Styela clava: one gene and its partners. The protein of the gene in region 2 interacts with the protein of the main gene of each other region in a biochemical or structural test. Links are inferred from orthologs where the notes say so. Each region holds a gene or a part of one and is shown on either strand. Other genes may lie near its edges. The genes, in order: junctional adhesion molecule C-like, tight junction protein ZO-1-like and kin of IRRE-like protein 1.

Region 1 (10,467 bases), on a different chromosome or scaffold from region 2:
TCTTTGACACGTTTTGGAGAAATCGCTTTTCTCTTTGATTACTGATCCAATTACTTTGAAATTTTCAGTGAGTAAAGATTATAGTTTTTCCTAGAGGCTATTACTTTTATTTTTTGCTATGACGTCTTCAAAATTATGTGGTGCTACCTGTCCATATATTTGAACATAGCTCTCTTGTTTAGTTTGTATCGAGAATCTTCTGGATATATCTGGTCGCCTCAACGTACTTAGACGTGGACGTTTTTGATAAATTTTGTTTCATATATTTTTTCATTGTTGTATTAATTACTGTTCGGCTTATTTAACCACGGGTGTCGCTACTCGAAATTAACCCGTATTGGTTTTTCCGTTCCGTTTATTTTACAAAGTGTATATTCTGTATGGTGTGAAAATAAACTTAACTTCTGATTCTCTGCTCTCTCGTGCGTAGGCGATTTGTGATTATAATAATATTTATAATTTAATGTTACGAAATAATCAAACCCATGTATTCATTTGTATAAAGCAGAACAACGTTTATAAGCGCGTTTTCTCATGTCGTCCAAATATGGAAATATATACGAAAGAGACGTTTCTCCATACTGACAAACAAAGCAGACGACGATTACGTCAACATCGCGCTTTTTTCGTACGGGATTTTTGAATGTCTTGTACTTCTCGCCATAACGCGCGTCGGGCGAGTTCTCGATCCGTAACGTTGTCGTGGGCGTTACTTTTTAGGCTTCGTGTGTAGATTTGGGCTTTGGGTCATTATCTGTCATACGTGAGGCATATTAAGTAGTTAAATTTACCCCAGAGTGAGTTTTAGATCATTTGTTCACCAGAATTCGGGATTAATCGCTGCCATGTCGGTTTCTCAAAAATGTAGAATGCATGCCAGATTTTTGTTTGTTTCGTTAGCTGAATAGTTACATTCCTCGACTGTAGATAGGTGCTATCATTTGTGCGAATAATGTGCATCGCGTAATTTAAAAAAAAAATACGGCATTTTATCGAAAATAATACACCTAATTTAACACAATCAGACAGTGTACATACGTGATACAGTGACAGGGAAATCTTAGGGGTACAGCAACCTGGCTACTTATTGTTCTGTTAGTATTATACATATAACAGTAGTCGGAATTCAAAAATATATATGAAAAAATCGAATTTGGTTCGCAATACACGTCATATTTACTATTATAGTCTACGGGCCACAATACCGATACCGGTATAGTTCTTTGAAACGTTTCGTTGCTTCGCCGTTTTCAAATCTTTTGTTTACACCGCGCTGTTAGCAATGGCGACCGCGGAATGTCTTGTGAACTTTTTTTTAAAACAATATTGATTAATTTTGTCTGCTCCAAGTGACATTATTGCCAAAGTTGTATTGATCTTCGAATTGTATGACTAAGTTAGTTAAACATCAGAATTGTTCGGCTACTTAGCGTTACCACGATTATATCTCACTGCTTGATTGGAAGTGAATTCCCAAAGGCGTCGCTGACAGGAATATCTTAATTAGATGTATACCGTAACTTAGTTTGGACTGCGATATTTTTTAGTAGGGGCTGGTTTATTATGGGCATGCCTGTTTTATTTTGTTGGCGTTAGTATTATAGTACTTTAGTATAACAGTATTATCAGCCTTCTGAATATCAGTGTACTGCTGTACTGGTACGGTACATTCATTCCATAACTCTGTCAATATCTGCATATGATAGTAAGACTGGCAGGCTGGGGAAATGTAAGAACAGCTGGCTGTATGTGGTCACTGTGCAGCAGTGTTCCCCTATTCAGCTATTGCAGTATTGTAGTATCAGCAATTAGTATATTTATTTGGGTACTGTAGCCACTGACAGACTGAACTATGAAACTTGAAATATTTCTAGCTCAATAACAAATGAAATGGCGGTGTGGCGCATCGTGCTAAGCTTTAGGAATACGCTTGCCACCGCATCTCTGATTACCTTGCGTGGGTTCGAATCCCATGCGGGGATGATTGTGTGCGAGAGGATTGCTGGCGCCGCCGTAGGGTGGTTCATGTAACCGCTGGTCGGTTACGGCTTCCTCCACCATCAAGTACATGCTCCCGAAAACAAAATAACTGGCTAATATATTCAATACCCGACCTGGACTGGTACGGTAACCGGGCGAGAGGCCGTGGTTCGCAATATTATTAAGTCGTCTTATCGACTTTCCTCTCCCCCGGGATAAATATGTAAATACTATCTTCTATATATCTAAATGGCAAGTACCGTAGCACATCACTGCATTACTGAAAAAGATATAAGAAAAAGAAAAATTTTATTGTCTGTATCAGTATTTAAACCATTTTATCTTCGATTGTAAAAAGAATTCACTTGAAAAACTACAATTTTCTAAATTGTAAAAGTTATCATTAAATTGCCTAACTTCAGTCCATATCTTGGCTAAAAATCACCGTATATATGACCAATTTCAATTATTATAGCTAGCGCTGTTATGTCAGTATGTGTAGCCTACATATATTCTCAACTTTTTTAATGTTGCTTCATTAGTTTTTTGCTGAAAAAATGGAAATTTTGCTGAAAAATGACTGTTTGCTACAGAGCAGTGAGAAAAATGACTGTAGGAAGTTAAAGCAAAGAAAGACAATGGTCAGATATCCAGAAAAATAGATCATTCTAATAGAATTCAATAAAAATGTTCCAATAGACCAGAAACTTGCAGGAAATGTTAACTTGGCACCACATGCAGACATGAATGTTTTAATGAGCATTTTTTGCGCCATTTGGACAATAAATGATATGTTGTCTTTGACTCTGTTTATCTTTTTAGTTGGTTATGTGTTTCATTTCCCCACTGCGGTTTTTCTTAGGGGAAAGTGAAGAAATAATTTAACATAACCCAAAATATTGGCAAGGTAAAAATGAGATGATACCAAGTACAGAAATAAAACATTCTCGGAAAGCTAATCAGGCGGACTTGATTTCAATTTTAACTACATTTTGGATTAGGCGAGTTTGTGCACGGCAGCAGGGTTTAGTTTCATGTCAACATACCTGACATAAAAATCACAAATACTGAAATAAATAAAATTTTAAAACATGCTTCAATCATGTTATGACTTTTATTTTATTAACTTTCAGTTCAAACAAAATGGAAAATTTTCCTTTTGGGCAAGTTTTAAATTCCATTTCAACCAAACATATCGCAGCATAAATAATAGCCTATAAATAGAACAAGCAAATGTGTAGTATTGCTGAATGCGTATGAGTCATATCATAATATTGCAATATAAAAGCACGTGGTTTCATTGAACATATGAATTGCATCATACAGGATATATTAAAGATGTTGTGATTGTTTTATCACTAATCAGCTGTTTAGGATAGGTTTTGATACATCATTTGGCGGAGGAAACCTGACAAGATGTTAATTTCGGAAATTCTCGCTATTCTTATGTTAGTAATGAGATTATCTAGGACAAAATTTACTTCAAATTCAAGCAAAGTAAAAACGATTAGATGGCAATTGCTGATGTTACTACTAATGTTAGGGTTGTGATGAGCAATTTGTGATTAAAATTTTATTCATATACATCTTGGGGAGAGGAAAATCGAGAAATTGCTATTGACAGTTTGTTAGGTAGGTCAGTACAGCGCACTATGCAAATTCCAAGAATTTCCCTCCATTTGGCTCAATAAAACAAACACTCTATATGTCTCACAAACGAGGGGCGTCCGGGACCACGTCAGATGCTTCATATCGCGCCATGCTTGTCTCAATAATAATCTAAATTAATCGCGGCCATCACATGACCAAACTTGCTGTTTTTTGCTAAAAACTCTCGAAAGCTACAGTACAATTTTTTTTCCTTTGGTAAATAGGATTGTCTGATCATCTGTAAAATGGGTTTCTCTGAAACGGGACAATGTCACCCGATTGGTATAGTGTGCCGTACTGTAGGTAGTAGTAGCTGGTTTTAGGTAAAATTGAAGAAATTCATGGCAGCATGTGGAGATGAAAGGCAATGAGATCTAAATTGATTGAGTTATTGCTATTAGGGTACTTCGGATTGGTTTTAAGATAGAATGTATTATCTCGGTCAAGAGGAAACGCTATAAGATGTTCTAGCTACTGAGACATCATTGCTTTGATAAGTTTATGTAATGATGCATGATTTTCATAGTCGTATCGGCGAGGAGGAAAACTGAAATATAAGCTCAATAGTGCTGTGGATCTGCAGGTTTATGTGTTTGGAAAATGCTGTTAAAAGTTGCGACTTCAACGCTAAAATTCCTATTTAATTGTAGTGTAGTATGAAATGAAGTTTTTGGTTTATTGTCACCTCAAAGTTGCGGGTCTCACCGTTGTAGTGACATAATTTTTGGATGACGCAGTCAGGTGGTTAGGATTGAAATATGCAAAATTTTGTTATGCTGCACCCACTAAAAGTACTCGAAACTACACTAGACTGAAAGTTGCTTTGGCTGTTTGTGTGCTATGATTGGACAAAATAACTATGTGAACTGCTAATGTAGACTCGGTAGTTAGTTACTGTAATTGAAGTTCGGTAGTCCCGTAAATTAATGTGTGTACCAGGTTAGGGCTAGGACAAAATTTTATTCTGATTTTTCTTATTTGAGTTTTATTACGAGTTTGGAACTGTCTGTGTTAGCCAAGTGAGTATAACCCCTGTTCATAGGAGTGGGAGTGGTGACTCATCTAAGGCCCATGGGCTGGGGCCACGGCCCATCGAATTGGGCCTCGGCCCATCAGGCTATGGGCCGCGGCCCATCAAGTTGTGTAAAGGGATTATTCACTTGGCTATCACAGACACTCCCCGAACTCGTAATAGAACTATAATGTGAAAAATCTGAACAAAATTTTGTCCTAACCCTAACCTGGTACACATACTGCAGGGGTATCCTTTTTGGTAGTTTGGTATTATGCTTTATTTTTATCTAAATGCTTATCGTAAGAAAAAAAATTTGGTAGCATCCCACGATTTTTTTTGGTTCGAATATTTACAATTTTGTAAAAAATTGAAAATTTTGGTAAGATAATTGAATTTTTCCTGATGGGGCCACGGCCCATGTGGCCCAATTAGATGGGCCGTGGCTCCGGCCCATGGGTCATAGAGGAGTCACCACCCCTGTAGGTTCATAGGTTTCAGTCCCTTAAAGTAGGCAAACAAAATTAGTTACCTCTCTATTGGTACACACATTTCTGGGGCGCCGAAGTTTCTACTGAGATGAAAATGTGACTTTCTAAAGAGTTGTTGAACTAAGGTCTTCAAGGTTTTAATATCAGTTGATTTTCAAACTCACTAAAACAAACATTTGCTCAGGGTGAAAGTTGTGTAAAGGGACTGAAACTTATGGGCGGGGGGGATTATTTACTTAGCTAACACAGCCAGTCCCTGACTCGTAAGAGAACTAAAATAATGAAAATCGGAATAAAATTATGGCCTAACCCTAACCTGGTACACATACTACGGGAGAACTAGTTTTCTTAGAGGGAACACCACTGAAAATATTATAAGGCATTAAGTTGTTATATTATTATATTATAAGTTATTGAATGATTAATTCTTATGCCCAATCTAATGTACCCCTCGAAAAAGCAAAACCCTATAAAGCCTATAACTTGACGAGTCTAATTTTTATTTCAACAGAGTTTATCAGCTTTTACGCTCAATTAAGTGCGACTTCTAAGACAGATTATTAGGAATGCAACTTGGATTTATTCTGTGTGGGAACTGTTTTGGATTTATTAATCTGTGTGGATTTATTCAAAGACAATAATGGGATTACTACTTAGGATAATTTCAACGGCTTTACTAATACAAGGTACGGTTCTAGTTAATGATTATTAAAATTTTAATACATTCTAAATCAGATAAATTTAGTCATAATCATAGTCAAGTTTATTTTTTCCATCCAGTAAAAAAAGTTAACATGCAAAATTAAGACGAATAAATAATATTGAATACACATTATACTGAGGAAGGGAAGCCGCGGGGAACCCAAGCTGGTCATCAAGCAGCGACACCCAATGTTCTAATATCTAGGACAGGGGTGGGCAACCTTTTCCGGCTCGCGTGCCAAAATCGACCAAATTCAATGACAAAATTCTTACGAGTGCCGACCCAAATTGTCGAGAGCTCACTCAGTTGTGACGTCATAATATATTTCTTTGAAGCCATATGTCATGAATGGACAAAAAGAATTTGAATAAATAACGGATTGTTAACAAACAAAAGTGATTAAACGGACGCAGAGTTTCAACAGATAATTCAGAGTCTTAAAACTTTTTATCTGAAAAAAATGTTTTTGTTTCTGAAAGCTCGCTCGCGTGCCGAATAAATGGGCTCGCGTGCCAAGTTCAGCACGCGTGCCAGGGGTTGGCCACCCCTATTCTAGGATATTCTTTAGTTTACGCTCATCTTGTGTATTTGCATTAAAGATTAAACACAGTGATACCTAGATCATGGGGTGCGGAAATTTAGGACCTTCCAGCACTTTTTTCGTGCGGCCGTGAATGCTGCAACACATTTTTCCCCTTCTGCTTTTACATTAATTTCAGCGCTTAAATTCAATTGTTCTTCCTATACTCGCGTCATCTTCTAATCTTTCAATGTTATTCAATAACGGGGGCCCATACCAAGGGGGCACACAGAGCTGTTGGAGAGGGGCCCCATGCTAGGCGCAACTGATTGTGCTATTTCATTTACACATAAATTCTCCCTGTTCTTCCTAGCTTTATTGCTTGATAAGGTTACTTCACAACACCCTGTTCAACATGAATTGTTTGAACATAATGGGATTTAGAATCAGACAATCAAAAGTAATACTATCAATACCATCACAGGGGGCCCATGGGTCCTAAAATCCCCTGGGATGGGGCTACAAGTCAATAAAGGGGTGGAACTACTGCCCTAAACCCTAATATAAATAGTTACCATATATATTTAAAATATCTAATCACATAAATTTATTATTATCAGTTGTTTAGAAGGCTTGCATCACTGAATTTGGCTGGGCTGATTCTTTCTATGTTTTCCATTCAGTCAGTATATTTGTATCCACTGGCATAAAGGTATAAGGAAACGGTCTATTTCGACATGGATGACTAAACATATTTTGGTATTCCCGAACTATGTAACCAAGATGGCGGACGACGAAACGTAGTATGTGTACCAGGTTAGGCTTACGCCATAATTTCAGTTACAAATACTACAGGAGCCACTTGGCTAGTCTCTGAACTCGTAATAGCACTAAAATAAGGAAAATTAGAATAAAATTATGGCCTAACCCCCTCCTGGTACACATACTACGTTTCGAGTCCGCCATCATGGTTCACATACTTCAGGAGTACCCATATTTGGGTGTTTGAATTGACTCAGAATTTCTTTGAATGGTGTAATTATATAAAATAATGCAAGCTGATATACCGTATTTTCTCGACTATACGCCTATCACACGGATAAGCCGACTCCCTAATAATAGCTTCAAAATAGTGAATTTATAAAAATTCGCATATACGCCGTTTCCACAAATCGTAACACGGCGCACGCATCTATTACAGTCAATGGTGTTCAATTCAAATTTAATATTCAAATATCGTGATTCGCTACCTTCTTGTATATGGCACACACATTCTAACAGCGAATATGGTTCTACCGAAAACGCCATGCTTTTCAGACTGACAAGAGACATGTTCACCTGGTCGGATAGCAAGACCTGTTTGCCAGTTGGGAGACAAATTTACGAACCCGAGTTGCCAAAGTACGACTGAGATTGCCATGACGACCTAATTAGTTGCAATTTCGATCCCTTTTCTGCGGAACATTCTAAAGAAACTCGCGGAACAGCAGTGTTCCGCTGAACACAGTTTGAGAAAACGTTAATCTAGGCCAGGGGTTCCCAAACTAGGGGTCGCAACCCCAAATTGGGTCGGAGTGATAAGTAGGTAGGGTCGCAAACAGTTCGTGGGGTCGCTGAGGTATGGTAGAGGATGGATGTACAAATCATCTAAGATTTGACAAACCATGTTAAATTTAGCAGTTTGTACCATGGCTTACTGTAAAACAGGCCCATAGGCATCGCTCTATGCTTAAGCTATAGAAAATGTACGTGCTTATTATGACATCACTGTTCGGTTTTAGCTTATTTTACTTCATACCACCACATGACCAAACTCAAAAGTCCAGGGAAAGAAGCTGTGAAGTTTCATGAAAAAAATATATATATTGACCTGGGGTCGCACTGGACACTTGAAAGTTGTCTTTGGGGTCGTCCTGAAAAAAGCTTGGGAACCCCAGTTCTAGACTAATGGTTCTCAAACTTTTCTAAGCCATCTTTTTAGAATTTGTCAAGTCTCGCGCCCCACCTCCAAAATAACTAGCTAACAATAAGCTACAAATAACAGATAGATAGTAAGGCGAAAGTTCGTTTTATTAGAAAAACACATGGAAATACGTGAATGGAATCACAATATCTAAACAGTAAGGAAATGTAGATATCCAATAAAAGGCGGCAAGATCAAATCTAACAAGTATTTTTATTTTTGATTAGCTTCACGCCCCCCAAAAATTGTCTACGCGAGCCCCACTGTATGAAAACCACTAATCTGGTCTAATTATTTTTGTATTTTTCTCTTGGTGAAAAATATTTATCAAATTGTATTTAGCTACTTTTGGAGTCAGAGTGAGTTTGGAAAATGGACAAACAGGAACTGCAATTAAAACGGAAGTACGTGGCCAATCAGTTTTATTGAAATGTAGTGCAACTGCTTCTGTGCAGAGTGGGGAACCAAGGTGAGCATTATTTACAATAGGATGGGAGTTACATAAATATCCAGGAGAGAGAAAAAACGATAAGACGACTATATCATATGGCGAACCACGGCCTCTTGTTCGGTTACCATTCCATGTCGGGTATGGGATTACTATTAGTTTTCGGGAGCATGAACTTGATGGTGGAGGAGTGGTTACGTGAACCACATTACGACGGCGAGGAGTCCAGCAAATCCTCTCGTACATGACATCCCTTATATTAAACAAATTTAAAATTGTTTTGTCGCGAGAGAAAAATCTATGCTTGTTACAGCTTATGAAATAGTTGTTCTAGTATTTGACTATTTCAGTTTCAGTTTCAGTTTGAAAAATAAAGTAGTCTAGCAAATTCAGTAATTGAATTTTGTCACTTTTTCTAATGCTGAGTAATCGTTGAATTCAAACCTCTAAAATCAAAAATTCGATACATTGAATATAATTTCTTCTCGCTGTTCTGTGCATTTCTGGAACTTAATGTAATCTTCTAGAAGAATAGTTAATTTCTATCATGCACGGAATTCCTTTTGAAATCATAAACTAAAAGCAGAACTTTGAATGTTTCAACTTTTATAACCGGTAAAAAAGCCTAATAGAAAACTAATTGTTGAGTTTGCTTAGGCTTTTCGACTGCGTTCAAATTTTCTCATTCCTTCGTAATAAAGTTTATATTGTTTACAAAATCTTTGGTACTCCCAAGTCCCAGAGTACGATTGTTTACCAGGTTGGGGTTAGGCCATTTTTTATTATTTATTCTGATTTTCCTTTTTTTAGTTCTTTCACGAGAAGGGGACTGTCCGTGTTAGCCAAGTGAATATATCCCCTGCCTATGGGTTTCAGTCCCTTTACACAACTTGTTGTAAAGTAGGCGAACAAAATTAGTTACCTCCATACTGGTACACACACTTCTGGAGCCCCGAATCTGTAGTGTTTTTATTGATCGCATTTATCAACAGCACTAATAATTTCCACAATTTATATTTGGCTACACATTCTACAAAGGTTTTCACTTATGCTACCCATTTAACCCCTATTTATTGTTTGATTTTTCAGTCTCGAATGGTTGTATTCTACGGTTCCTAACTCCGCTGGAACGCATATATATTACCAAAATAAGATTGTTGATGGACTCGCAGACAGATTCACACTGGAGAACCCATATTCTATCGTCATTAAAGATCTTGTTTCGGCAGATACAGGTAATGTGTTTGAAAATCTTCTTCAATATTATACTAAGAATAAGCTTTCGTTTCTAAATAACATCTTCAGAATAAACAAGATACATGGTGTCCATGAAGTTTTGAAATTTTTTGAAATTGCTGAGGTAGTTTATTGATACCATGTATTGTTTTGGCCCTCACAGATGTATTGAGTGAAGTAAAAATACTTGAACAATTACTGATTAATAAACAACAAACTTGGTTAAGATGTATTGAGTACTGACTTCATAAAAAAATTGAAATTGTAAAGGGACTTTATGGACACCCTGTATAACTTGATCAATCGATGAATCTCTTTTCTCGATAATATAATCGCCCATATTCTATCATCATTAAAGATCTTGTTTCGAAAGAATATTTGATAAGGTAATTTTAAGATAAGTTTCAGATTCCAAATATTGTGATTTATATTTTAAATTTTTTTTTATTTTAATGCGTATATTC
Region 2 (11,045 bases):
TATGAAATGATATAAAATTTATTGTTATTCGTCGTTCTTGTTATTATGTATATATATATATACATCGAGATTGAAAAAATATTAAATTTTACTATTTGCCCATCCTTACATAAACACATACAACGCAGTTGAATGACTTTAAATAGTTCTACATAACGTGATCGCATCGACGCCATTGTTGACACAAGATTTGAAAATCATAGAAAATTACTCATGTGGATCAATGTACCGTAAATAGGTGAGAGCCTATCGCCCGTCAAAAGTAATCAAGTGGTAAAAGTCAGTCAAGCGTGAAATGCTTGTCTGCAAGAGAGAGCTGTTCAGCGCTGAATGACCATACAAATCCTAATAATATTTATATTCAAATATTCAAGCTGATATTCAAGCAAATAGCTGGTTTTAAAAGAAGCGCATAAAATTAAAAATTATGAACAAAATTGATTACCTAACATAACATCTGGCCCTATATTGCCTGATGTTATTCGAGTAAAAGACAAAATTTTATAAATTTTATGACTAAGATAGGTGGATATGTTTGGTTTATTAGATTAAAAACGTTTGAATATAATGTTTACAAATTCTATTAGACATTTAGGTACTTTATATTCAATGTTTACCAACAAAATGCACCAGATTCTAAATCTAATTAGTGTCTATTACTCAATGTCCTTGTCTATATGAATCTAAAATGGGCTCTCCCCAAACAAGAGTTGCTGTGCAGAAAACTTGTTAGAATATTTCTTTATTTATTAATAATGGCCCCAATTTACTAAATAAAATCGGCGAGTCAACAGTTGAAGAAAAATCAAGAACATTTCGACCCATGAGCCTTACATGAGTTAAATATAACTTATTACTGGATTTGAAAAATAATAGATAAATCGTAATATTTTTTACTCCTAATGGCACATTTTTTTTGCGAAAAATGATCAATAGCAATAATAATTTTTCATCTAAAATTCACTATTTCAACACTTATATATCTTAGATTGCAAATTCCACCAAGGAAGCTTTGGAGAAGCAGTCATACAGGAACTACAAACTGGTGCTAAATCTTAAAAAGGTTCACTGGGTAAGAAGCTGGGTGAAAAGCATACTAGTAACATATCATATCATCTATTCTTATCCATTGTTAGAACCTTTTTCAATGTCTACAATTACAGCATAGCCTAATCAAAATGCATAACCAACATTTATAAGACAAAAGGGTTGTTTTACAATGCCAAACTTGACCACCAAAACTGCTTATAACATTTTGTTTTTCTCTTTTTAAAATCGTAACTTTGTACCTGGAAGGCGATCTGTAGTTCCTACTGTGACGGCTTGATCTTGAACGTGAACGACTGTAACTTCTTCCACGGCTCCTTAAAAATAAAGGTCACAAATTTACAAAATAGGAATCAAATAACATTGATTTGATCAATGACGCATTTTGTAATCAATATTAAACCATGGCTTATTTTACCTGTCAATTACAGATCCTAATTATACAGACAATATTTGCCAAATGTGTAGCATAATTTTCAGCATGAGTGAATTTGCCATTCCATGTTATAAATAGGAAATCTTCACACTGATTAAACTTAACACATACACATGTCAATTTATAAAACGATATTACTAACTACGAAAAAAAATGTAATGTCAATATAAATGCCTAAGTTATCATTTAGTGTTTAGTACCGCCCTATATAAGCGGCCACTAATATCTCACGCTATGTACGGTAAGAAGTCATTTATTTGGAAGGACTGGACTCTTTGGTTCAGCATTGTCTACTAATTTATTACACCCTGGATGGGGTGGGGGAATGAGATATGAACCTGAGATGCTTACCTGCTTCGACTTGTACCTCTCCCCCTTGATCTCCTTCTATTTCGTGATGAACTGTCTAAATCACGGCTATGTGATCGATGACGTCGTCGAGGTGATCTATCTCGACTTCTCGATCTGTGGCGTCCATATGATATATTGTCCAGATTTCTGCTTCTGCTACGATGTAAAGGACCAGGTGATGGTGTGTCGCGAGACTCAACACGCACAATAGCTTTCCTTTTGACGGTCTGGAAAAGTTTTGGTTGTATTGATGAATGAATTTTTTGTTTAAAAATGTTGTATATGATGTAAAAAAAATTTCATAAATATTTCAGTAAATTCTGATTTTGTTCCACTAAATTATGTTCACATATCTATGACCATTACTATGCCATTGAAGTTTGAATCCTATATAATTACACTAGACTGCGAAGAACAGCCAAGAATTATAAAAATAAATTTGTCATATATAAATTCGGTTACAAAATATTAGCAAAACATTCAAAAAAAATGAAAAATAATACCCTTTTGTCAGTTTGTATAACAATATTCACTATTGGAAAGTATATTCATATACACATATTTATATATTCCAAAGATTTGTTGTCATATTATAAATTTAACTTCAGTCGAACTATAACAAAAATGATGTAACTAAATACCCCTGTTTTGCCTGCGGGGCATTGACTGCCAGACGTATAATTAGTTTTATGTGTAATTATTGTGCATCGTTGTGCTATAACATTGCAGTGAAAGTTGTTCTATCAAGCGGAAATTCTGTGATTCCGCATAAAGAAATCGTATTTATAAAACAAATACCAGTGTTTCAAAATCAAATAGCTATATTTACAATTTTGACTTTTTTTCCAGAATTTTTCAATTCTCTGACAGCTTGCTGGTGTGCCCATCCATAACAAATTTGATCATTTACTCGTGTCACTGTGTCATTAATCCTGTACAATAAAAGAATAATTTGGAAAAAAAATATTTAATTTTCTCACAAATCTACAAAAGGGCGATGCTTGAATATATGAACATGGAGGCTAAAATGAAGTATGCAATCTGTCACAATAAACCTGCAAAAATTCTAATTTTGATGACATCATCACACACAAAAATCGAATCCCATAAAGCCAACAGAGATTAATGAAATAAAGTAAGAGCGAAAAATATGATCTTCACCCACTGAACATTTATTCAACTTCAATATACATTTCATGATTGGTACACAGGGAATTGTTGTGTATAATTATTGACAACTTCTTTTGAACTATGATAAATTATTTTAATATACAAAGCGGTAAATACTTATTGATCAAGGTGAAGGGTTTTTAACATAGGTCAAGTACAATCATCTGTACCATCATAGCTTAAAAGAAAATGCAATTAACTAAGTGGTGAAGAGTCAATGTTAATTGATTCATATCCATCAAAGATCAAAACGATGTAAGATATTAAAAATACTCATAGTTAAGCTGAGTAATTTTACATTGATAAACTAAAGTGTAAGATATACAAGATATGAGACTAATACAGTAGAACAATTTTATGCCTTAATCATAAATAAACATCAAATATTATACTAACATAACTTAAGATAACACTACAGATGAATAACACAACATTTGGTAAATGCATCTCTTGTTAAAAAAATCATGCACTATTTCATCGGATTGGATTTTTTCGTACATTAGATATGCCTTCCGCTCTGAACAAGGCTCTGCAGAAGCAGGCAGGCTTTCTGTCCGACACTGCATACCGAATTTATTACACCCTGGGTAGGGTGGTGGTCATGGAATTAAAACCCAGGATTTTAACCTGTGATGACCTTATAGTAAATCTAATGTATGATTAAACACTTGGCCACTATAGATACAGATTGTACTATAGGTTGCATTTGTGAAAATCTATAAAACGGTATTATTAACCCTGAACCTTAAATATAGCATATATATATATATATGTATGTGTGCGTGTATTCGAAAACTCTATTAAAAACACACGAAGATGAATATATCATAACAAGTTTGCTGTATCTTGAAACTCTGACTCGTGATTTCTCCACTTTAAAACGGATTTAAATAGAGTGTGTCCAATTTTAGAAAATATTCTATATCGGCAACTTGTCATAACAGTCTATTTATATTCATTTCAACCTTCTAAATTCAAGATTTCACAATTTAACCACACCAGGGTATAAATACAAGTCAAGAAATAACTTACTGTAGTCTATTGAAGGCAGGTCCATGTTTCACAACATCAGAAATAATGATTGCTGGATCACCAGTTGTTACTGCTGGATTATCACGCCCACCACTGATGGCAATTCCAAATCCTACATCCGATTGTTTTGCTATCTCATATGTGTGTTCTTGGAATATAACCTCTTCGCTCATTTTAAACTATTTGTATAAAAACTATTTGTATGTAAAGATATTTATAGTTTAAAAGATAGATAATGAAAAATATAATGCACATAAAGAGACTGAACCAAATGGCATTTTAGTGGTCGCCTTAACTTTGCCCAGAAATCAATCTCCTAGATTTCTGAGTGAGTTATAGTTTGAAGGGTGGTGGAATGAAACAAAACCACCAATGATGGCTGACGAGTTCTAACATTATGAACAGACCTTTTGGCTTCACGAACACGCCAATACCCATGACTATTATGCGATTAACAACTAAAGGGGCCTCCTTCGAAACGTGAGGCTTTTTGTTTCCTGCATGAAATTGTTTATCATGTTCTGTCTGTTCCGATTAATTGACCTTTGACCTACGCAAATGCATCGCCGCGGTCGTTTGGTAGACAGGACTCTGCGTCAAAGCACTAGTTGGGATGTTCCGTTCAGATAATTTTACACTTGTTTGTTCAATTTTCTGTTAGTTGCAAGCTTAAAATCAGGTTTTTAAGCAGTTTCGGTAGGTTTGTGAGCAGGCTCAAATTTTGGCATGTCGTGGTCACTGATTGCACGCCGGAATCTGGGGTTTTGTGTAGTTTTGTACCACGATACCTTGTAGTGTGTGTGGCGCAACAATTTTTCCAAATGTCATTCCTAACTCCCACCTGACCACATCATTCAAAAATTACTTCACTACGACATCACAGTGACATAATAAAGCCACCAAAATTTATGGATGTTGGTCCAAAACACTCAGACGATTAACGGAAGTCGAGCAAGCCATTTACTTGTCGTAACAATCACGATATGAGGAAGCTTGCTGGCGTTAGTGAGTTCGTTATCGCCCGCCCAGAAACCATTTTGGGCGATCATAGCTATGCTTTGGCAAGCTATATGACGTGATTGTGACTTCGTAGTGACAGAATTTTTGGATGGCGTGGTCAGGTGGTGGGTTAGGAATACCATATGCAAAAATAGTCATGACAAGCCCACTAAAATTACTTGTGGTACTACAGTACTAAAATACAAGATGACATATTTATTCATTAACCCTGTAACCCAAATACAGGAAATAATACACTATCCTTGAGCTCGTAGGGGAAGTAATAAAGCCAGAATTATAGTAAGCTACGGCTGTACGGATAAAATGTAATTTCAGAATTCAGGAATTTGCATGCAAACATTGTCTGGTTGTAGGTATGCAGTACTGAAAGGGCCAAATACAGAAATAGCAAAATAGGGAGTCTGGTAGTAGAACTGTAGAAAGAGGTCATTTAGATGATGAAGAAGGATAGGATATACATATTTATCCCGGGGGAGAGGAAAACCGATAAGACAGCTTATCCACATGGCGAACCACGGCCTCTCGTCCGGTTACCATTCCAAGTCGGGTATGGGATTAGTTATATTGTTTGTTTTCGGAAGCATGGACTTGTTGGTGGAGGAAGCCGTAACCGACCAGCGGTTACGTGAACCACCCAACGACGGCGAGGAGTCCAGCAATCGGGTCTGGGATAGTTTAGTACCACATGTACTTCTAGTTGACCTGGCTCAACAATTTTTGAATATGTCAATCCTAACCCCCACCTGACTACGTCAACGAAAAATTACGTCATTTCGTCGTCACAGTGACGTCATAAGGCCCACCGAAGTATGCGGATGGTCGTCCAAAACGCGCAGACGATCACCCGAAATCGAGCAAGCAATTTCTCTCGTTTTCTCATCACAACGATCACGATAGGAGAGAGATTGTCGGCTTTAGCAAGTTCGTTATCGGCGGCGCAGATGACATTTTGGGCGATCGTAATTATACTTTGGCAATCCCTATGACGTGATGATGACGTCGTAGTGACGTAATTTTTGGATGGCATAGTCAGGTGGGGGTTAGGAATAGCATATGCAAAATTCGTTATGGTACGCCCACCGGAAGTACTTGTGGTACTAAACTATACTAGACCCCAGCAATCCTCTCGCACATAACCATCCCTGCATAGGATTCGAACCTGCGAACCCACGCAGAGTAATTACTGAATTAGAGGTGCGGTGGCGAGCGTATTCCTTAACGCTTAGCCCCTTGAGCCACACCGCCGCGCCGAAGCATAGTTTAACAGACAGACAGAAGAACAGCCAGTAGTCGGTAAGTGAAGAAGATTTTTCTTATTTCTAAATCTAACTTCAGAACTTGCTAACCCCAATCCAGCCAATAAATGATAACCACAATCTGACACTCTCCTCACCCTGTCATCAGACATCAAACGATAAAGTCTAGGCGCACATATTAGCAGGTTAATTTGGATAACGTCAGGAATCCTAAAATATATTTTACAGTCTTAGTCAGTTTTGCAGTTTCAATCTATTGACCTACGGCAGTACGGATCTGTTTGAAATTTCGAAAAACAAAACCAAGAATAGACATGTTAAGTCTGTGATTACCGGTAGACTACATTGTTAAGGCAGTACAGAAAGAAGTACCGGTACCGGTATCAACAATATCATCTACAAATCTAGAAGCACTTTATTACAATCCTGCAATAGATGAGTAAATATGTAAATAAATTTGACTAGTCTCCCGTCTCCCTCAGTCTGTAAATCCGCGTCTTCCTGCTGTTGTGTGGCGCTGCCCGACTGCTGCAACCTCACATTCTCCCACATGACGTCATAAAGGATATAACTGTTGTCCAACCTTTATAACTAAATATCGCTCCTGGGATGTATATATATATATATATACTGTTTTATATAACATATGTAAAAATAAAAACCTGTGGATTTCGCCACCGACAAAATGACACCAAGGCACAAGATCACCAGAAATTTACTATGCTGGGCGTGACGCATCTCGGAATTTCACGCTTGGGTCGGTTTATAATTTCCACAAGAAAACGGAGAAAGGTTTACGACAGCCGATCGCGACCTAGCGACAGGACGTTTCTCCACCGTTAACTTCTTGCTGATTGGTTGATGTAGAAAGAAAACAAGAAATTGGTGGTTTGTGAATATCAGCAACTATTTGAGATACGTTCGATTTTTATCCGGAAATGAGGTGAATATTTTAGTTCAAGTGTTATAAAGAGCTAAGATGGCCATCACATAGCAAACCGTGACCCCAATTATGACCAGTTGCTTGAAACTGACATAGGCATACCGAATCGGCATATCGTTGATGTTCAGAGCGAAAAGTGCAGTAGGATATAACCTTGTTAGCAAAAATGTCTTGGACATGCTATTAGAATCTATTAAAAAAGAGGCGCAATTTACTTCTGCTTTTCTAAATTTGGCTCGACATGAATATTTTCGCATTTTATTGCCACTAGGATTGGAAAAAGAAACTGCATTTCACTACCAATCATTAAATTCATATATGTCGAGTGACATATTGTGCAAGTGTTAAACCTGGATGGTTATCGATATCGTACCGGGGCTGCGGCTTAAGATGCCGAGCTCACTGACATCCCGGGTATATGGCGTGATAAAGATTCTTTCCTGGTTTACTGCCAGTTTTATGTGTGCTCGGTAGGGTTGGATTATCCGGATAATGAGAGAGAGAGAGATTTTATTATTTCCTCAACCAAAAAATACAGTCATCAATAATATAGCAACAGCAAATAAAATTGTTTTGGTATGGACAGGAGGAAGCGATACGACCGTACGGTCATCGAGGTCCGCTCCCACCATATACGCTGATGTGATTAAGATTAACACTGAAAGATGAACAATAACAAAACTTGAACTATTACGATAAAATTTTTACAATTAATTTCTTAACAGAATTAGGGATTTTTTTGATAAATGCAATGTTATGCATGTGTGTTTTTAATGTAAGAAAAAAGAGAGGGGGGGGGGGGTGTCCCGTGTTGTTAAATAAAACAATCTAAAGCGGTCAGAATAATGAGTTGGAAATGTATGTAAAAATTACTAAATTCAATGGGTCAGTTTGGGCGATTAAAATTGGCTATATATACACAGTGGATCAAGGACAAAATTATAATGTGATAAGAATGTGTCTGAATGTGAAAAATAATTAAATGCCACTCAGTGATACACAGTATTGAAAAAAAAGTAACATACCAAGAATTTTATTCATAGGTTAGTCATAATCTGAAAGTGTTTGAAAAATTTCATGGACTCAATGTATATGTTTGGCAATTTTACAAATTACGTTCCAAAAATGTTAATACTTATAATAAGTATACCTATTAATAAGTTTTAGCAGATGGGTATTGAAAACTTTAATTAAACAAGAGAGCAGGTGGATTTTGAAAACATTTCTGACTAAAACAGGAGGGTCAGGTTTTGAAAACATTCCTGACTTAGACAAGAGGAACGTTTCGGACTTAAACAAGAGAGCAGATGGGTTTTGAAAACATTTCTGACTAAAACAAGAACAACCGAGAAGTATTTTGCTATTATTATTATTGTGACGGTTAACCGGATAATAAAGTAGCATAAATAATGCATATGCTCATTCGTGATTTTGATATTTTTTGTTAAGTGACGGCTGATATCCCGAGAGCATATGATAAAAACTCTTCTTCAGACTTCTTTGCCTATATTATAGCCATTCGTGAGACGCTGGAGTAAAGTTCACTATCACATCACACAATACGCGAGAACAAATGAGATTATTATGTGATAGGAGAGCGCATTCGTTTTATGAAGTTAGATTGGTTGGGGGTACGAGCAAGGCTGTAATCGAGTTAGTTGAAAAGCTTTGAAGGGGTGGGGTGTGAGGACGGGGCAGTCTAGCCTCTAGGCTAGAGGATGACGCTTTGGTGATGACTATTTTTTGCTGTAGCTGTTTTTGGGATTTGGGTATATTGTCGGGCAAATGGGGCCGTGTTTTGGTTCGGGACTGGACACAACGATAATACTGCACAATCGACGCCACGTAGGCTATGTCGGAATTTGTTTGTGGTCTGGCGCTGCTTGGTGGTATATTTTGATCTTTATATAAAGCTCTGCTTACTGTCCAGCCTACATGGAAGCAGAAGGTGCATCTTGACTGTTTGTCAAAAAACTTCAGTCTCGTTTACACGACTCCACAATTGATGCGTCGTGCTTCATGCATTGCAGAAACAGTAATTAATCCCGCCCCTCTGAAACCCTGTTGCGTGGCCCACAGAGTTTGTCTGTCTTTACAACTGGTGAGTAGATGCCGATTTCTTTCCTTTTTTCCTTCCTCATTTATTTCCCACACCCTCCTTCTTAAGTATCGGAAACATTGCTATCGACTATCGATGGATTCAGTCTCAGCTGTATACTAGCTTTCTCTAGATACTTCTAACCAAAAAAAGTGCATGATTTTCTTCACGTTCAATAATTTTATTTATAGCCTACATATGCGCGTTACATATTAAGTTATTTGGAATGCCTTTTATGAAATTATTTGTGTCCCGCCAAAATATACTTTATTGTTCGTGCACGCAGATGTTTCATTAGCATATGAGCAATAATTAAATTAATTTATATATTCTAGGGTTGCCATACCGCCCGGAAAATTCCGGACATGTCCGGAATTTAGGGTTAAATATTGCGTCCCGAAAGAATTTAAAAAAAGACTCAAATGTCCGGAATTTTATTGCATCTGCAATCGTACTGTGCACACTGCTAATACTACGAGGTTGTGTGGAATTATGATGTAACAGAGCGTTCCCTATCAATGATGTTCACCACTTAGAACAGGGATCGGCAACCTACGGCCCGCGGGCCGGATCCGGCCCGCGGAGCAATATAATCCGGCCCGCGACGCTTCACTCAATTATAGTAACAAATTATAGCTGTTTTGTCGATTATATTCTTTACGCAAAAGAATTTACATGTAGACCAAATTATATTATAACGTAACAAGTATATAATTCACAATTACTCGTTTAATGAGGCTATAATTTAATTATAATTTAGACAAATGACAACAAAACGCAGAAAAGGTGATGCTAAGTGCAAATGGTTTGATGGCGCAAAAAATATTCGAATAGTCAGTCTTCACGCGCTGCTCAAAATTTAACTTCTGATCTGTGTGATAAATTCATCGGTCATTCATTCGATTTTTAACATTATAAAAATATGTGCGGCCCGCCAATGACTTGCAACCGCGAGCAACAAGAGGTTGCCGACCCCTGACTTAGAACTTTCTGATTATTATTTGCTGACTGTTTTACCCGTTTCGTTGAGCAGCTGCAAGTGTATTTGATAGCAGCTAGTTCCTTGTTGAGTTAGCTGAATACAGAAGTTTTATACCACAAAGTATTTTTCTATTTGAATAAGAAGCAAGTCAGGAATTCGGTATCGAAAGTGCTAGTCCCTGAAGCTTTTTGGTTCAGTTAGTCTGGTGGTAAATTACTTTGTTTTTGCATTTGTATGCATTTTTAGTTGGGTTGTATTTATTGTTAATAAAAAAAGATATTATTTCAAATGGCCAATTCTTAAACGAAAGTACACATTCACTAAATAGATGCGAGAAAAACATCCATGTTTTAGAAAAGGCAGGAATGATTATGAAGCGGAATGCTTGGTTTGCGAATACGGAACCTATATATCTGTCGTGCACAACGGTCATGGTGATTTGAACACACATCTGCAATCAGAAAAACATCGCAAAGCAGTAAGAGGGGCTGTTGCACCAACGAAAATGACAAACTATTTTGTTACAGCAGGAAGTAACTGCGAAGATGAAATCACTGCCGCAGAAGGCACTCTTGCATTTCACGCTGTTAATCATCATCATAGCTTTTTGTCCATGGACTGTACATCTGTTCTACTTAAAAATATTTTCCCTGATTCGAATGTATAGCGAAGAAGTTTAGTAGTGGCCGCACAAAGACAGAAAAAGTTGT
Region 3 (10,837 bases), on a different chromosome or scaffold from region 2:
TGTGGTTTGTTTTCGGTTAGATCCTGGTCACGAGTGTTTGTGGGAGTGCCTCTGGTCTCCGGAGGGGATTTGTTGGATGTTTTTATGCTAGAGCTAGACAGTAGGCTGATAATATTGTTTCAGTACATTGCCATTGCAGTTATTTTAGCGTTGCATTTTTGGTTGTTGTCAGGGAATTAGCTATTATCAGTACTGTTCAAAGTGTTTTTATTGTGTATATTCTGTTTTCTTGCATTGTGCTGCCTGGTACTTGTCGCTTTATTGTATGGTTGTATTCTGAACTTGGATAATTATTTCATAGACTGCCGGTACGCTACAATCTCACGAAATGCTCGACGAGGTTCTCCATGCTGCTCATCAAGTCCTTTCATGTATATTATTACTATCTAGTGGAATATTTATCGAAATCTTCAAGGTAGCAAGCTTCCTCTTTTTAAAACGAGTATCATTTCAGATATTGGAAACTATTGGCCTATTAGTCTTTTACCGTCGTTTTAGTACATAACTTAAAGACATTTGAAGGCGAACAACATGCTATGAACCTTTCCCCGACCTTTGACCCTCGAAAAATTCCTCCTATACTCTACCATCGCAAAATTTTCGGGGCTATTTTAAGAGTGCTTTTGCAAATTGGCGCCAGTAAAATGGGGTATGTGTTTCAAACCATCATCATGATTCATCACATACAACAATCTGTTTTTTAAAAGTACCGGTGAAGAATTTTAGCCTAATATATGCTAGCTAATTCTACACTAATTTTTCATTACTGCAAATAAATTAAAACTACCAAGAAGTCAGAGTGATCATTGAATTATCTGATTTATATTTAAGTTTCCGAACAACTGAAAACTAACGAATGGAGTTCAAAAACTTGAAAATTTGTCTGAGTGAGAAAAGTGTCTGATTGGTTGCGAAAGGGAGCATTGTTACGTCACTTTTTGCACCTTGCTGATTGGCCAATGTCACAAAGTAAACAAGGAAGTCGATGCTCGGGGAAAAGTCCATTGGAATATTTCGAAGGCATTTGACACCATTGGCCACTCTATCTTTTTAAGTAAGCTCGGTCACTATGGAATTGTGGGTGTCCCATTTAATTGGATCAGGAGCTACCTACAAGAAAGAAAATGAGTTGTGCAATATGACAATTCATTCTCTAATAATATTTGCGTCATGAAGCACGGAGTTCTTCAAGGATCTTTACTTGGCCCATTATTCTTTCTAGCATACATAAATGACATGCCTAGGTGGGTATCTAGACTGCTCTGAGTCGATTATGTTTGCTGAAGACACTGATTCGATTATGTACGGGGAAAAAACTATTCATAATAGGAAACATAGACTTGACCAACGTTCATAAGTGAATGTTGGTTAATAATAAATTATCTCTTAATGCCCATAAGACCAAATTAGTATTATTTCATCCAAGCAGACATGCAAATGCGAGTTGCTCAAAACCTTTGCTGCTCAATGGCAAAGAAATTGAAAGAGTGAGTAAAATAAAATTCTTAGGAGTTGTCTTTGATGAAAATCTCTCTTGGAAATCACAAGTTGCGCAAGTTATTATTAAAACAAAAACAAACTTGGCAGTCGCTGCCAAAGTATACCAGGGTGTCAATCAATCAGCTCCATTGTCGCGGACCATAACTTCCGCGTTTATATTTTGTATATATCGTATATATATTTCATGTTTATAGACTGTGGAGAGTGGAAAAACTGTGTCTTCTGATCTCTTCCTCCGGCCGACGGGCTGGAGCCTGGAGGTCGGCTGCGTTTTGTTGTGTAACTGGCCAACTATTTCTATACCCGACATGAACTAGGAACCGGACCAGAGGACATGGCTTGCCACATGACTAAGTCGTTCTATTGACTTTCCTCTCCCTACATGAAAATCCTATCCAGTTGCTGCCATATATACCTGTGTGATAATCATAATAGATAGAGTACATGCGCAAATAAGTAAATGATAGTGACACTACCGGCACCCAAGATTTGTTTTCGCTGTTTTAGATTTGGCTTCGAAGTGAGAGTCGTGTTTTGAATCCCCGTGGCTCGGGAGTCGAATTCAATTTATTAGCTGGTCTGGCCCGAGGAAACTGTTTCCAGTAGAGATGCATCGGCAATAGCGGCCATTATTCTGTATTTGTATCGGTCTCGGATAAATGTAGACCGATATTTTCCATATATTAAGATTTATCATCTAATTCTAATCTATATTGTATTAACAGATAAGTTAGTATACGGATGTCGATTTTTTTTCATGGAGGGATCATGTTCGTGGTATTTGACTATAGTTGATGAGCCATGCTCGTCCCCACCCCCGCGAGTAGAAGCGAGAACAAGATTTTTTGAACAGGTTGATTTTTCAATGTGTAAAATACGACGTTATATTGGCACAAAATCCTGCGCACGTAACTTGAGGTATCAATTTGATTGGATGAGTAAACGTTTATTCATTTTACCATCCATAGTAGCCAAACCCTATGAGTTTTCTAATTGAAAACCGAGATTACTAGCTTCGGTACACAATGCATCTGGATCACAAACATCAATTTCTTATTATCTGGATTAGCCTATCTCTTTTCAAGCCTAAATGATGTGTACTATGAATACTGCTCAGACTCACCTCCACACCTAAGATAATAATTACATGGTATCGGCCAAGGCTGCCCAACCCGCGGCCCGCCGAACTGTTTTTTGCAGCCCGCCCTATAAAGTTTGTAAGCAGACTTTTTATGTTTTTACTATGTTATATATCAATATATAGGGTTAGGTACGTTTCTGATTTTGGTGTGATTATTCCTGCCATCTGTCTACATTCAAATGCCGGTTCTTATTATTACGTATGTGTCAAGTCTCGCACCCTGGTGGACATCGACGTCAGTTTTTTTTTTCTCGCAGAACTGAACGTTCTGTTCGACGAATTCGAAAGATATTGTGCGATCACTGAGGACGAACGCTGAGCGCAATTATAGGAATGAATTTGGAGCCTAAATTTGCGAATTAGTTTCATTATGATTGTTTTCTTACGTGTATGCTTTGATCGTCTTTATCGCCAGCGTAAAATAAAATGTCAACAATATCTTTGGTACTGGTCCTGGGACTCGTTGTCTTTTTATGTTTGTATTTTTTTTTATCAAATGTTTGGGTTAAATACGATTTCGGAAATATCGTCACTGCGTATCCGTCAATAATTCTGATAAAATTGACTTAACGGCATTACCGCATATTGGTCACAAATCAGTATATATAGGCTGTTCGCCCAGAAATCTTTGTAATGTTACTTCAATATTTGTATTGGTGTTTCAAATTTTACGAAACGGCCCACCTAAACTTGATATTCCCGCAACAGTGGCGCACATTATGCTCATTTAAACATTGTTCACGCCCCGTGTTACCAGATATTCGAATTGTGAACTGCTATTCTAATATTCGACGAGATATTCGAGTTATTTGCCAGCCCTACTCAGTGACCAGAAAACAGTAATTAAATTGATTGATTTGATGTTAATAAACTTGCCTTTTATTTATTATGTAAATTACCCACACCGAAATCAGGACTTAGCTGGTAGAGTATTAATGTTTGGTACAAACGTTTGCGGCCCGCAACGAATTTCGTCACTTGAAAGTGGCCCGCGAGACGAAAAAGGTTGGGCAGGCCTGGTATCGGCCTACGACCATACCACTTGAATGCACCCGATCTCGTTTGATATCGAGAGTTAAGCAAGGTCGGACTCGGTCAGAACTTGCATAGGTATCGGCGTTTTTTCGTTGGTATCGGATCAATATCGGCAACAAGGTGCTATCGTAAGTATCGTTGCATCTCTACTTTTAAGTAGACTCCAAGTGTGACTTACACTCGCCACCTCGCGGTGAACCATGTTAATTATCGTAGTTACGAAATATGCGACAGTGAACCATTGTGCAAGCACCAACGCACTAAAACAACCTTGAATTAGGCAAAAGAAATAGGTAAGTATAGTATTAATTACGGAATATAGGAGGGTCAATTCTTTTTTCCATGAAAAGAATCCATGTATATATCGCTGCAGTAAAACCAAAGTAGCTTACGGTATGTCACGTTTTTCAGAAATAGATTTTTTTTACATATCTGTTGTTATGGATCAAGGACCATCGTTTAGTCTGATTTTCAAAGCTGTACCTGTTTTAGTTAGGCCTTATGTGATTTTTAGATTTTTCCAACCAAACTACTAGGAAAATATGATTTCTCAAAACCTTGAAATAAAACATAAGCTAATAGCTGTTCCGAATCGCCGACTTAGTTTACCTCCAACTAGTTTGACAGTTAATGTTAGGCTATGTTCGAATGAAGTAAAATTTTCTACTTAGAACGCACAATTACTATTAAAGTTGGCATGTCTTGCTGTAATTTACTCTGATCTATAAGAAATGAATTACGACTTGAACATATCCTTCAAATTCAATTATGGGTGACTCCGAAAGCAACTTTTGTACGCCACGAAATGTCGGGTCGAGGTTAAAGTCAAGCAAGTACGACCACATCAGCTTAGCTGTGGTTTCGAGGAACATACATTGATCATGAATTAATGAGCAATGACGAACTTGGTACAGAGGCATGGCAGTTTCATTTGATTTATCTGATTAGGCCTACGTCCGGCCGCTTATACTGAGGCATTTATTGACTAGAAGAGATATTTTCCCCGAGAAAAAAGTTGATGAATTTTTCGAATTCCATAAAATATATTAATTAACAGTTTTTTCTTGCAGTCACAATTCAACTAAATTAATTTGGTCGAATTTTTTGTCTAGAAAATTAAATCTAATTTCATTAGTATATATATAGGAGTATAAAACAAATGATACGGATCGAAAGAACCTCTTGAAGTGTGTGTTTGTCGTTTGTTTAGTGCTTTCATATTTGTCATTTAGTACTGATTAGCACAAACGTTTTAACAAGCCCGAACGTTAAAAGTTCTCAACATTGAATCACGTTACCATAAACTTTAGATCGCGACATGCCACCACCGATGGCTTCTACTAAATACGTCGTGCGCGGTCTCGTGACTCCTGGATCATTCCTATTCGTAGATGTTTCGTCTCAAGGGACATGGAAACGGCTGATTTGGATCTTGTACAGTCATGGAATGTTTATTGTCGATTTATTACCATTGAATGAGTTCAATGTACCAGGCCGAAACTTTCGAGATAGAAAAAGATGCAATAATGGCGCCATAGTAGATGTGATTATTTTCGTATTAAATATTACATTACTGGCATGGAATATCCTGTTCCTCAAAAAGATTTATTAATAAATATCAATTTTTTTCGACAAGCTTTTCAGTTTGAATGGAATAAATCAAGTGTAATATTCATTCGATGTGTGTAGAAATTCAGTTAGTGTTGCATTCAAGTGTATTATTAGTATGACTTTTATTTTAGATTTTTACCTATTGATTTATGGGTTAAGTTAGGCCTTTGAAACAATGGTAAATATAGATTCGTTTTGATTTTAAGGTTCGGTACTGAGACGACATTAGCATAGTTGTAGCTATTTTATAAAAGTTCACTCTACACCAAACTTAAAATTTGGTATTAAGAGTACAATGAAAATATTTAATAAAAATCATTTTATTTTATGCTTTTTCTAAATTAGGCGTATTCGAAAGTCCATAAGTGGAGCAGCGCAAAGCAAAACTAAATTTAATTTGGTATTGCGGTAGTAATTTGTGAGTTGTCTGACAAAATAATCCTCGAAACAGCTATAAAAAATTTTTTCTAAAAACTGAACAAAATTTATATATTATCTGCATTTTTATTTTATATTACCTGAAACATAGTTACTCTCCGGTTAAAATAAAAGGTATGAGAAGGGGTTCGAAAGTTTTGTTGCTTCAAGAGGACAGATGTAACAACTGAGGGAAAATGAATGTATTCGAAAACAGGTAAGTTTATTTTTCTGTTTAATACAAAACTGGACAATTCAAAATACGCATAGAAAAGAAAATAGCAAATTCAACCAGTTTTCATTCACGCTGTGGACGTTTGAAACATAATATACACTTGATAGTCGGTATCGATACTCATCTTCTATATTATCTTGTCTAAAATCAACACCTGATTTATATTTGGCAACCTAACTAGCCGTTTTGTTAGAAACGATTGAGGCCATATAATCATCTTATTTATATATAACTAATAGTTTACTATATTTATCTCAAAATAAACCTCAGCCATATGACTTCTACCTGTTTGTATACGATCAACATGGTTAACATTCAACAATACATAATAATTCAAAATTGGTCAAATTTGAAACATTCATTTTTAATTTGCTTCAAGAAAACATTGATATACAGTGACATAACAAGAATGAGATGATATTTTGAACAAGAGGAAACCAAGGCAAATATGACTGATTGTGGATAATGGAAAGTCCATGCGTCGGTTGCGCGGCGTTGACAAAATTAAGTGCTCTGCACAAAAAAACTGCTCACTTTTTTTTAAAACTTCTCCTATTACTAATTCCGCGTGACCAAAATGAGTTACATTGAGTCCGACACGAATGACATTTCCTGCTGTTGCCACTTATTTGTCAAACGACCATCATTTGTACTACAAATTGGATATTTACCGTACCTAATGTCCATTTTTTATTGAAATGCTCCCAGGCAACTTTATTCGATCACTGCAGAATGTCATTAAAAGCATAATTGGTTGAATGGTTTCATTAATATTATTCATATAAAAAAGCTTTTGTTCATTTTCGCCATTGCCCTTGTTCGTAAGAGGAGCCCCACGTTGACCCATCACTGATCCCTATTAACTTGCGTTTCCCAGTGTCGACATGGGTCATCGATTAGGTTTGGTTGAAGTATTCTCATTAGTAAATTTTTTCACTTTAGCGAGCCATCGTTTTCAAAAACAGGAAAATATTTATAAAGAAAGCCTTTAACTAGTTAACTGGTGCAACGATGGAAGATGTCATGTATACATCACTGCCTCAGTGATTGCTTCGATTCTTCTATGGCCCAGGGGTGGGCAAGGTTTTTGAACCAGGGGCCAAAAGTCCTGCCCACCTAGACTGGCGGGCCACGTAAGTGTGACGCAAAAAGTTACATTTTCTGAACAATATTTACAGTGTTACAAAATCAAAAGTGGAAAATAATAAACCTCGTGCCAAAACTAAATTTAATCGTAATCTTAACAAATTCTTGAAGCTATTTTTCAGCGAAAACATCAAAATTTGGTTTTAGTTTGGTTGTGGCATCATTAGGTGGGCCAGATTCAATTACCCAACGGGTCGTATTTGGCCCACGGGCAGTAGTTTGCCATGCCAGTACTATTCCAACTTCAAAGGAGAGTAACAACTAAATATGAATGGTCGAAACTGTGCTTTCTTTTTAGAAAACTTATCTGGTTGAAGGTATTTCATATCATTTAGCATTAACAATTCTGTAGATGCTCTTTTGGATAAAATTTATTAGTGAGAGTTGATTTTATTTGACAGAAAAAAAGTCTAATCGAACTTTTTACAATGTCAATAGTTCATGTATATATTTTCAGGTCAACTTCAAACCCGCGCGACGGGGCGTATAAAATGCGGATTTTATTTTATCCCTTTTAAGTTTGTAATATAATGTTTAGAATAGCCATCTGAAGGTTGACCGATGTCTATTATGGTATTATTCAGTCAGTTTGTCGAAGCATAATGAATGACATATGATGTATACAGTATTAATATGTATTATGTGAAAAAAATCACGGATCCCTAGATAATATATGTTTTCGCTGTATCAATGTAGGGCTGACACTTTTTCTATTATAATTGTTTTTATAAACTCCGTTATACATGTCTGCACATCACCCGTAACTCAATTAAAATTTCACTCTTGACTATTAGATCAATGAATATACTGCAGTATTTCACTTTTCGATTATCATTGAGAGTAGAAACTTGAAATTAATAAATTCATTATGATCGGTGATAATTTGGTATTCTGATTTTTATTCTTTATTATACGTTTCGTGAATTCATCTAGGTAAATTGAATCTTGTATTAATTATCGTATGTATACTTAACGCTACGGTCTGCCAATTTGGAAGAAAAATCTGAAAGCTCGTCATATATACAACTTTATGACAATTCCATTGCATCTATAAATCTCTTTCCGGTTCAAAATATATGCAGTATGACTGGTGTTTCTGATTAATTGTGGAAATATAATTTAACCACTAAAAATTACTCTGTTCGCATACCCGAAACAGAGGGGTTTTATAAGATGAATCCAGAATTCTATTTGACTTGCATCTCTTCCTAACAAACGCTGTTAACTGCTTTTATTCATTTGGGAATAATGCATGAACTGCTCGTTCCGATCGTGCTTCATCAATTTCAAGTCAAGTTTTTATTTTCTATTCAAGTGCATGAATTATCTTCATTTGTGGTTGGATTAGTAGTCACTTAAATTTTCATTGGCCAATCTACTGAAAACGTTGCTTTGTTTTCACTTGGTAACAGCCTAGTCCACGATCATCGTCCAAGATTACATATTTCTTTCTTAGTTGCCATGAATAAATGATGAAGTTCTTGTAAGGCTCTTGGGAGAGTAGTTGAACACAGGCAAGTCACGTGATCCATTAATGAATTAATTATTTTGTTGAAGTTTTTAATGCAAGATTAAGGATAAACCCAATAAGTCAATTTTATAAATGGATATGTCCTTTAATTCCTGTGTTTTGACAGAAATATCCAATGACGCAATGACAAGATTAAAAAACAAAAGTGGCGTTTAGTGTTTATAATTCAACTTGTGTAATCACATAAATGAAAACTAGGAATGTCCGTTACCACCCTGTCATTAGAATTGGTGCATTTCTGGCATAAATACAAAATGTGAAATTATCGTATAAGCGGTATTTTTTTGATTCGTTATTTTCTCCATAAAAGTATAAGGTCGTTATAGTTATACCCAAAAAACCTATTTTGATTTTTTGACGAAGAAAGAAAAAAGTTAATCAAGAAACTGTCTACACCAAAGTATTGAAAAAAAGTTTGTTAAAAGCGAGTAGACATTAACTCTCCCTCTCCACTATGTCTGATTAATAATTCCGCCAAAGAAGTTTTATAAACTGAAATATTTACTGTGATTTTATTTCAAACGTTTGCGCTTCAATTTATTGGCATGCGGTCATGATTGAAGGAAAATAACAACAAAAATTTGACGTGTTCGATCAACCGCTAATTAAAAAAAATTGAAATTTGTATTCGGCCATACACAAAAATGTACAAAAAAAATAGAAAAATTTATGTTTCATACCTGGTGGTCAATAAACACAAAAATCACAATGTTATTTATAATGACGTCATGGTATTTTTATGTCGTTTCAGATGAGATTATACATATGAATTAGAGTAGAAAAAATATATATATCATTTTTTGTTTAAGAAATTATGCAAATCACTATGACAACCTGGGGAATACGTGAATATTTGAACCTTAAAAACTGTTGGTCTTGTTCCGGTCGTTGGGTAGAATTCATTTTAATCGAAGAGCACTAGGTGGCGATATGACGGTATGAAATCAGTATATTAATTAAGTATGGAACAGGCGACAGAAGACGCGCCTTGAACGAGGTCACCACACATTTATTATCCGCAATAAATTGTTGTTTGGCAAAAATTCCCTTATATAACTCTGGTATACAGCAAATGACAAAAAAAAACATAAAAAATTTTTGTGCGCTTGTAATCAACACAGTTGCTTTGCTGGTAGTATGAAGTCAACGAAGCGAATTTAATGCTTCCAACGTGTTTGCACAACTACATTTGCTTGTTGGGAATTTGTATTAGAAATAGCATTAAAACATTTAAGAAGTCTGAAAGTTTCGAAAATAAAATATACAAATGAACATTTTCTGATGAAGAAATTTATCACTTCTGCTGGTTGCTTTCTTGGTGATTTGTTTTAAATATCCGCCATGCTCAATATATTTATACCAAGATGTTTCAACCGGTATCTACTGAAATCTCCGTGTTTCAAATGTGACCACATGCAGCTTTCAGATCGCTTGTATATGCATATGACTTCCGTATGCGAATATAGTATCATCCTTTTGAAATGTGAAATCGCGAACTCAATTTTAAGCAAATGTACATAATAAATCAGGGCATAGAAAATGTATGAATTTCTTACTTTACAAGACAGAACCAAATAATATTCGTTGCAGGTTGAATTTTAATAAGGAAACGAATTGAAATTCATTTCCGTTGTTAAAATATCCAGTATTCATATATTAATAATGATGAATTTATCAACGAACCACCTTAAATTCCAAAATTTATATTAAAACTGATAATAGCCTCCCGTTTGGACAAATACCATACGCCGCCTTCACAAATACAGGTACCAGCTGCTGACAACATGAGTATTAATAAATTTATGGCGAGTACAATGATACTGAACATGGTGAAAGGACCACTTCAGAGGTTCATAAGTATGCATACTATTAAATATGGTTGATATGATGCTGCGAGGACTCTTCTCGCCTCACCGACGCTATATTTTCCATTGTTCTCATTCTCTTTCACAGATACGAATTAAATTTATGAAAAAATTTCTACTATATTTTTTATTTTATTGAGTAAATATATTAGAGTGCTTATGTATTGTATGCGTTCATAATAAAGCTTTGTTTGGCTTCGCGGTTCCATCATAAACCTTTCAGCAATGCGATAAAGTGGAATGAATAAATTTTTCAAGTGCGAATTTGCTGTGAAATTTTTTAAACTCGTATCTATCCGTGTAAGATAAACTAAACACTAATTATACATGACCTGTCATGAATCGAAGTTTACATT

Evidence for each region.
Region 1: the proteins of tight junction protein ZO-1-like (region 2) and junctional adhesion molecule C-like form a complex in vitro, tested with the Homo sapiens proteins (2 studies listed by BioGRID and IntAct, with this or other methods). The link is inferred for Styela clava from reciprocal best matches to the Homo sapiens genes TJP1 and JAM3.
Region 3: the proteins of tight junction protein ZO-1-like (region 2) and kin of IRRE-like protein 1 form a complex in vitro, tested with the Homo sapiens proteins (3 studies listed by BioGRID and IntAct, with this or other methods). The link is inferred for Styela clava from reciprocal best matches to the Homo sapiens genes TJP1 and KIRREL1.

What each region holds. Positions count from the first base shown.
Region 1 is NC_135253.1:22,953,690-22,964,156, reverse strand, and holds the start of junctional adhesion molecule C-like, read left to right. Parts: upstream 1-5,647; 5' UTR 5,648-5,773; coding exon 5,774-5,819; intron 5,820-8,661; coding exon 8,662-8,788; intron 8,789-9,856; coding exon 9,857-10,002; intron 10,003-10,467. UniProt on the Homo sapiens protein: Junctional adhesion protein that mediates heterotypic cell-cell interactions with its cognate receptor JAM2 to regulate different cellular processes. Plays a role in homing and mobilization of hematopoietic stem and progenitor cells within the bone marrow.
Region 2 is NC_135250.1:11,489,299-11,500,343, forward strand, and holds the start of tight junction protein ZO-1-like, read right to left. Parts: upstream 4,241-11,045; 5' UTR 4,210-4,240; coding exon 4,037-4,209; intron 2,767-4,036; coding exon 2,664-2,766; intron 2,062-2,663; coding exon 1,835-2,061; intron 1,365-1,834; coding exon 1,290-1,364; intron 1-1,289. UniProt on the Homo sapiens protein: TJP1, TJP2, and TJP3 are closely related scaffolding proteins that link tight junction (TJ) transmembrane proteins such as claudins, junctional adhesion molecules, and occludin to the actin cytoskeleton.
Region 3 is NC_135253.1:5,790,807-5,801,643, forward strand, and holds the start of kin of IRRE-like protein 1, read left to right. Parts: upstream 1-5,814; 5' UTR 5,815-5,921; intron 5,922-10,837. UniProt on the Homo sapiens protein: Required for proper function of the glomerular filtration barrier. It is involved in the maintenance of a stable podocyte architecture with interdigitating foot processes connected by specialized cell-cell junctions, known as the slit diaphragm.